Lepisosteus oculatus: one gene and its partner. The protein of the gene in region 1 purifies or fractionates together with the protein of each later gene. This does not show direct contact. Links are inferred from orthologs where the notes say so. Each region holds a gene or a part of one and is shown in the gene's direction. Other genes may lie near its edges.

Region 1 (3,959 bases):
AATCTGTACTCTGTAATTAAATCTCAAAGTGATAGATCTCGTTTAGCTTGCAGTGATAGGCTCCGGTTACCCCCGCGACCCCGTCTTGCATAAAACGGTCAGAAAATGGATGGATAAATATATTTTTGCCCAACACGTTAGTTATACGATAATTATTAGTTTCGTTTTTGGGTCCAGCAAACTCTATTACGTTTTGCTGGCTCTACAGCCGTATTCCTCATTACACTCTTAGCAATACGAAGCAGGTGTCAACATAAAGAACAATTCTATTTAGCTGTTTACTGTTACAGATTCTTTAATTTACAGTTTCCAGTAACGAGAAACCCGCATATTCCCGCTAAGAGTTGCCTCAACTCAGACCCTATCCGGAAAACAGGGTACAAAATCAACGTACGGAAGCACTCGTTTTTTTCAACATTATTTTAAACCGATTGGCATCTTAATAGTTTTATGGATTGTTTTTGAACTTTACTCGTGTTTAGCAAATTCAATCTCATTTACTTAACGTCCAATAATACTATTGTTTCATAACATTCTGAACATATTAAGTGTGACCATGCATGTAATACCCTAGTTGAGCATGACTGTTATATAATGTGTACGTATGCCATTATCATTCGTATTCGCGTTATCGATTATTCTGTTTTGTCAGTCACAATACCACTAGCCCACACAGAATTTTGAAACTTTTGTCTCTTAGAAACAGTAGCACATCTAGAGCTTTACTGTCCTAGTTACTAGTTTAATTAAAAGACAAATATTCATGTTAACTGTTTACGTTGTAAAAAAAGGCACATGCCCACCTGCTGACCTTTCTGGGCAGCAACGAACTAGTTGCAGTTCGTTATAGTTTGGCCATACTATTGCATTATGGGATACCTATAGTTTTTGAGGAAAAGCGATTTCTTGCGTCGCTCTGTGTGACGTCACACAGATCGCAGGGTGGATATCTATGGTTGTTTTCACGTCTTTTTCCATCTGAGCAGCCCAGCAGCCCCATCCAGAACGTTCTGGACGTCACTTCGGGCAGGACTTCATGGCAGACGAAAGGCAAGTGCAGTGTACATATTTCACTACAACATTCAGTTAAATTAGCCGAGTAACGAGTAGGTTGAGAGTAGCCGATTTTCTCGTTAACTGGTGTTTCTGTGTTGCAGGAGCTTCCCTGACAGCCTCATTGACGAGGATCCTCAGAAAGCTCTAGAGGTAAATAGCGTCCCTGGGTTGCTGTGCCTGTTTCCTTCCGTGGTCTTTCTCTTAGGTACTCAATTCGATTCTTTACGGTATTATTTTATACAGTCGGAATAAGCGTAGCCAATTTACTATCCATTTAGTAATAGATTTGGGCCTTTCTGTGTCAAAATGGTACTTCTAAACAGTTGTCTGCCCAACGATTTTCTCCGTAATGTTTTCACTTTTCCGCATATAGCTAAACTTTTTTTTCTTTGTAACATTACTCAATGTCCCAGAAAACGTGTAAACCTACATCCGTTTTAAATTGTCGTATTGATTCCTTTGGATTCGTTACATGACATTCCAGATCATCCTATCTTGCTAGATTCAGTTCAGTTCAAGATGTCAATGTAGTATTTAAGCGTGCTCCTCAAACCGTCCAGTCACTTGATATCTCCTTGTCCCCCAGCCAGTACAACCGGTCTGAATAAATAGTGCTTATTGGGCACATTGGAGTCAATTTAATCTGAAAACCTCTGTGGGCTATGTACTTTACATTGGCATTGGAAATATTTTAATATTGTATTCTACATACATGTGTATATATAAATGTGTGGATAAAAAAAAAGTTACAGTAGGAGAGTTAAGATACCAAAGGGAAAACGTTATGAGCCTTTCGTGATGATTTCCAAGTGGAATTTAAAATCATTGCCCTCTCCTTCAGTTTGTATCGGGAAAGACCCATAAATTTGAACTGAAGGTTCCATTAATTTAATTTGGATCTGTGATGGGTTTGAGCATTTTGCTGGATATTGGAATGAGAACTTTTTTAAACCAACCATTTTTGTGTGCTAGAATGTCTATAAATAATGTGCATTGGCACTTTGACAACTCGTTAAATCATATGCTACTACCATACCTTGGTCCTGTATTTTCTAAATACTCTCAGACATTTGCCTTTTTCTGTATGAAACACATTGTTCACCACATGTAGGTCAGTGATAGCTCTTTCAGGTTTCGCACTCATCCTTGTAGCTAATAATGGTGATTTAATCATCTTCTTCCAACATGCATTAACCTTCAGATAATTAAAAAAAGGTGTCAGAAATTCGTTAACTACAGAGTTTATTTTTGTTCTACACGTTCAGGGTCACAGATAATGGGAAAAGAGCCTCCTGACGATAGAAATGATAGACTTTAGCAATGCGTTTTATTTCTTTTTGTTCTGTTCATAGTTTGCATGTAATAGTAATGGGGACTCCCCTCCACCACCACCAATGTGCAGCATCCACCTGGATGATGCGACAGCAGCCATAGTGCGCCAGAACACTCACCACACATCAGCTATCAGTGGGGAGGAGAGCAGAGTAATGTAGTCAATTCATAGATGGGGATTATTAGGAAGCCATGATTGGTAAGGGCCAATAGGAACTTTGGCCAGGGCGCTGGGGTAACTTATCAGTAACTTATCATACATATACAGCCATAAAGGAAGTATTATTCATCAAATTCTGTTGATACATCTGCACTATACACATCTAAATAAGTGCACATTTCTCCAAACAAAGTCAGCCCTCTTTCCTGTTATTAGTTTATTAATAGGTTGTGTATACATCCCTGATTTCTTGTAAAAAAAAAAGTTATGAGATGTAAATGGCATGATAAGGTCAGCTGATTTTTTTTCACATCCACAAACTTGGACGTTAGATGTGAAATCTGTTTGCACCTGTTCTTCGCTGGGTCTCCAGTCTGTTGCGCTGATGTTTTTCTGTTTTGCTTGAGTTACTGAATACTTGCAACTGTACCAATTCAGAAACTTTTTCCCCTCTTATGTTAGATGAGTTTTAAAATATAGCGTTGTACCTAGGTTGTGGTTAAGCCTTAATTACCCCCACAATAAATTATATTGCATTTTACTGTAAATATCAATGTGTACTTTGTTGACATTTTTCTTACATTTTCTAATATACTGTACATACCTTAAGAAATGTCCTATGCTGAAAAACTGAAGGAATTAACCCTTTTCAGTCTTGAACTGAAAAGATTATGCGGGTACCCGATAATATGAACCAGGGGACACAAATGGAAACTATGTGGAAGTGCTTTTGGTTTCAAGAACAAGAGGCAAATCTTTACCCAAAGAGCTGTGGGAGTGTGGAACAAGCTGCCCAGCCATGTCGATGATGCCCATACTCTGGCTTGTTTGGGAAATGGATGAGTAGATTGAATCGTTGGATCCAGTTAGCTGCTTACTACTAAATAGACTAGATGGGCAAAATGGGCCTATTCCTGTTTGTAATCTTTTATTTTCATATTTTCAGTGACTAGTTTTTGTTTTTAAGTCACGTGTGAAAATTCACAATTGTTCTGAGGCTGATCTTGTTGCCTATAAGCTTTCTGAGCACCAGTCTTACTCAGTCAGTTGTCCTGTATGGCTTGGGGTGTCCTGCTCATACTAATTTTAATAACATAGCACAGACACAAATCTAGGGTTTCTGATTAACTTGCGCTTCTATTCAGTACTTTTACCAGTTGAGCCTTTTGGAAGCATCTGAGGTTAAGCTCTGCATATGTTTTTGTATGTCTCGGCACATTCATTTGTATTTTCTTCCAGGAGCTGAATGGGGTATTGGAACGAACATCAGATAATGCAGAATGGTACTGTCAGAGATCCTACACCCACCTTCTGCTACAAAATTACAGCAGTAAGTAAATCTACTACATCCAAGTCCTCAATATTTGTCAGTAATGGTGCCTGTCACCTAGTAGTGATTTGTCAACTAGTG
Region 2 (3,600 bases), on another chromosome or scaffold:
TTTCCCTTGGCCATGCCGTGGTAATGGAGGTTTGCGCATAGCTTGATTGTGTTTGAACTACAAGGCTCAAGAGCTGCTTTGGTAAAAAATCAGCTTGCTGAAGAGACCCTTTGACTCAGGAGCACTTCTCTTGCGTGTCTGTATTGCACACTGTCCCCGTGCTGCACCATGCATTCAAAACCCAGCTAGACTGCTGTGTGCTTGAATCGGGCATTTCTAACCCCCTGCCGCTTTCCGTCCTTCCCAGGTTTGATGGTTTCTGTAATGCGCCATGGGCTATGACGTCACCAGGTTCCAAGGGGAAGTGGACGAGGATCTCTTGTGTCCCATTTGCAGCGGTGTCTTAGAAGAGCCTGTGCAGGTACACCTGGCGATTTCGCGTCCTGTCACACACACTTCCTACTGTGCCCTGAATAAGCCCAGTCCTTTCAGGGGGGAGCTCATAGGATGGCATCCATGGGACAGACATTTATTTGATGTGTTGCTTACTTTGTTTTTTTTAGTAGTGTTTTGTCTGTGCTTAGATAGAAACTGTAAAATAAGTATGTTTGTGTGGTTAGAAGTTGACTGTTGGGACATGCTATCCCAAGCTTATGGTAAAGGCTTTGTTCAACTAGAATTCATTTTCTTTGGAGGAACAAGTAAAGGTTTATTTCATGCTGAAAGAAAGAGACAACATTTCGGCTGTGGAGCCTTCTTCAGGTGTGAAGTTCAGGTCATTTATTTTGGTCTTACTGGGTATTACTTAGTGTCATTCATGACTGAATTGATTTGTTAGATAACTGCCTCACCCTTATTTCTGCTTATTTATCTAGTGACGTAGTTATGTATAATGTTGTGTAAACTAAAGACTGTGGTGTTGAAGTAAAAATATCCAGAGCTTTGCTGTAAAGAGCATACTGGAATCTTGAAATGACTTCTTCACACAGAAATAATGTATTCATTTCAATGAAGTGTCATCATCTTCCCTGTTTAGTCTCAGCTTTATTTTCTGACTCGCCCTGTCCAGGGACCCTCATCCAGTTTCATCAACCAAGATCTGTGCCTGCTTGTCCTCCACTGAGACAGAGTGACAGAAAGAGGGTAGGGAGGAGGTTGAAACAGATGTTTGTGTTGTTCAGGGACATTTGTCTCTGAGCTGGAAGGCTAAAATCCTAGCAAAAAAGTATAATTGTAGTGTTTTGCAATGTGGGATCTTGAGATAACTGAGATCTTAGCTGGTTTCGTAAGACTGAACACCATGTGCAGCCAGGGTGGCCCGGCCTGTTTCTGTACTGCCGCAGACCTACAGATGTTTTTAGAGGAATTTGGCATCCCTTTCAACATCAATACATTCTACATTCATTATATTCAACGGTTGAGTCCCTGTAGCAAGGCCTTGGATGAAACTGAAGCCAAAAACTCTTTCTGTGTCTGGGTTTGGCATAATGGCCACTCATGTTGACGTTTACCTAGTTTTTTAACCCCTGATGAAAAGCCAAGTATATTGTTCCTGTAGAGCACAGCTGAGTGAGCATTAGGGCTGTTTGTGTTCCCTGACAGTTTCTCATCTGGGGGTATTTAATGGCGACCGATCTTTTACTCCACAGTCTAAAATAGCTTCTGTAATCGATTCTATTCTTGTTTTTCTGTGTCTATTGCCTTGGGGCTGTTTACATAAGAGACATTGCACAGACATGTCTTTTAAAAGCATTGCATGCTTTTAAAAGTTAGCATGAATCCCAAAAGACAATTTGACCACAGTTTCTAAAGTGTATTGAAAATCCAAGATGCATTTTTGAAGTATTACTGGTAATAATCTTCTGATGTAAAAACATTTAACTGTACTTTTAACTCCAGGTATGGAAGCTGATTATCGCAAGGGTTTGTGGAGCTTTTAAGGAGTGATGAGAGATGCAGAGGGGAGGGAGTGATGGGGGAGGAGAGAGATGTACTGATCTGCTGTGAGGGGACAAAGTGACAGAGCAAAGGGATGCAAAGATCCCTCCTTTACAATGTGCCTGTTTGCCTGTCTGCACTGCCTTTCTGAGCTGACAATATGAAGAAAGAGGAGGATAGGTAGTGTCCTAATCCTTGTCAGGTTAGGAGAAAGACTATGGACCAGTATTAGTCATGCAGAGTGCTGTTTATACGGAGCTTCAAATGTATTTCCTGAATGCCTTAATTCAGTCACTGCTGTCATATCCGAGGGCCTATGAGGTGAGTTTTTTTTCCCCCCACTGTTTTGCTTTTGAGCTTTCCAGCATAGTGACATGCAGCTACTGTATCCTTAGTGAAATGTTTTGTCTTGGGATACATGACAAGGAAAACCAGATAAGGCTAGTGCTTCTTCGTTCTAGAAGTCTGCTCTATGCATGCACTGCCCGTACCGCATTCATGTTGAAGTGCGGACCCTGGCTCGCTGCTGTTTTTCTCCCAGGCTGCAGACCTGTCTAGTCTGTTTGCTCTTGAGCATGTTGCAGAGGTTTGCGCAGCGAGCTGGCAGCTGTACAGCCAGGATAGGAATCCAATGCTTAGAAGAAACAAGTTTATGCATTTTGTGATCAGAATGTTTTTTTTCACCCACTTTAATCTTATTAGCATTGATCCTTCTTGATATAGCTGTTTCTTAAATTCTGTGATTTGATTGGTCTCTAATATGGGTTTATTAAAAAATAGAACATGTCTCAGCTGAAGTATGACTGGCTTGTATTCTGCTGGCGAACATTCTTAGACAAAAGCTCTGGCCTTGCTTAATTTAAAATTTCTGTACATTATTTGGAGTGGCCCATTACTGAACACTGGTGGTCAGTAGCTGTCAGCTTTACAGCTATTTCTGGAAAATTAAAGGCTTAGTCAATTTCAGTAAACTTTAATTACTCTACTTTTGACAGTCCTACTTGGCTAAACGTACCAATTGAGTCTTCTCAAACATTGACTGTCTTCCAAATTTTAGCTATTGCATTACCAAGGTGGGCAGCCTTGCCTCTGGTACTGTGTGGTTTCAGCTGCACTGAGTTTTGAAATGCTCTGTTGTATTTGCGCATGTCACTTATTCTTCAAGTGCTCCAGGAATGTGATTTTTATACTCTTTCAGAGTCCAATTGATCATATCTGTTCTGTATAGAGCTCTCAATTGGGGCAGGAAGTAAGGGATAATGCAGGTATTTTAGTCCTTAAAAATGCAGAGATTTGAAGCTTGTTAAGGAGCACCATGAATAGGTTTTTCACATACAGAATATTTACTGTTTTTTCTTTAAGGGCAATCATTAAATCAAATGTTGCTTATTTCTTTGGTTGAATTAGAGAAATCATTGTGAATGTGGCATACAGTTACAGTTTATAGAAGTGTTACTTTTCCTAATAAAGTAATTTCAGTGCTTGTAACAAAAAGCCATCAAAATGGAAAGACTCCTATCCCACAGTTTGATTTGTTTCTCAAAAGCTGATTAGCTGAAGTAATGAGTTAAATTCGACTAATAAACAGAAGAGACTGGAGATCCCAAGGAGCAGTACTGTGAAATTCTGCTCGTTATAAAACTGTGCCTAACTTTATCCATTTCATTTCGTATATCCTCTCCACAGGCGCCTCACTGTGAACATGCCTTCTGCAATGCCTGC

What was found.
Region 2: the proteins of sugt1 (region 1) and rnf41 purify together in Homo sapiens (affinity purification with mass spectrometry; 3 studies listed by BioGRID and IntAct, with this or other methods). This does not show direct contact. The link is inferred for Lepisosteus oculatus from reciprocal best matches to the Homo sapiens genes SUGT1 and RNF41.

Annotation. Positions count from the first base shown.
Region 1 is NC_090710.1:16,037,916-16,041,874, reverse strand, and holds the start of sugt1 (protein SGT1 homolog), read left to right. Parts: upstream 1-922; 5' UTR 923-1,036; coding exon 1,037-1,050; intron 1,051-1,157; coding exon 1,158-1,206; intron 1,207-3,787; coding exon 3,788-3,878; intron 3,879-3,959. UniProt on the Homo sapiens protein: May play a role in ubiquitination and subsequent proteasomal degradation of target proteins.
Region 2 is NC_090696.1:15,789,815-15,793,414, reverse strand, and holds the start of rnf41 (E3 ubiquitin-protein ligase NRDP1), read left to right. Parts: upstream 1-860; 5' UTR 861-912; coding exon 913-1,083; intron 1,084-3,564; coding exon 3,565-3,600. UniProt on the Homo sapiens protein: Acts as E3 ubiquitin-protein ligase and regulates the degradation of target proteins. Polyubiquitinates MYD88. Negatively regulates MYD88-dependent production of pro-inflammatory cytokines.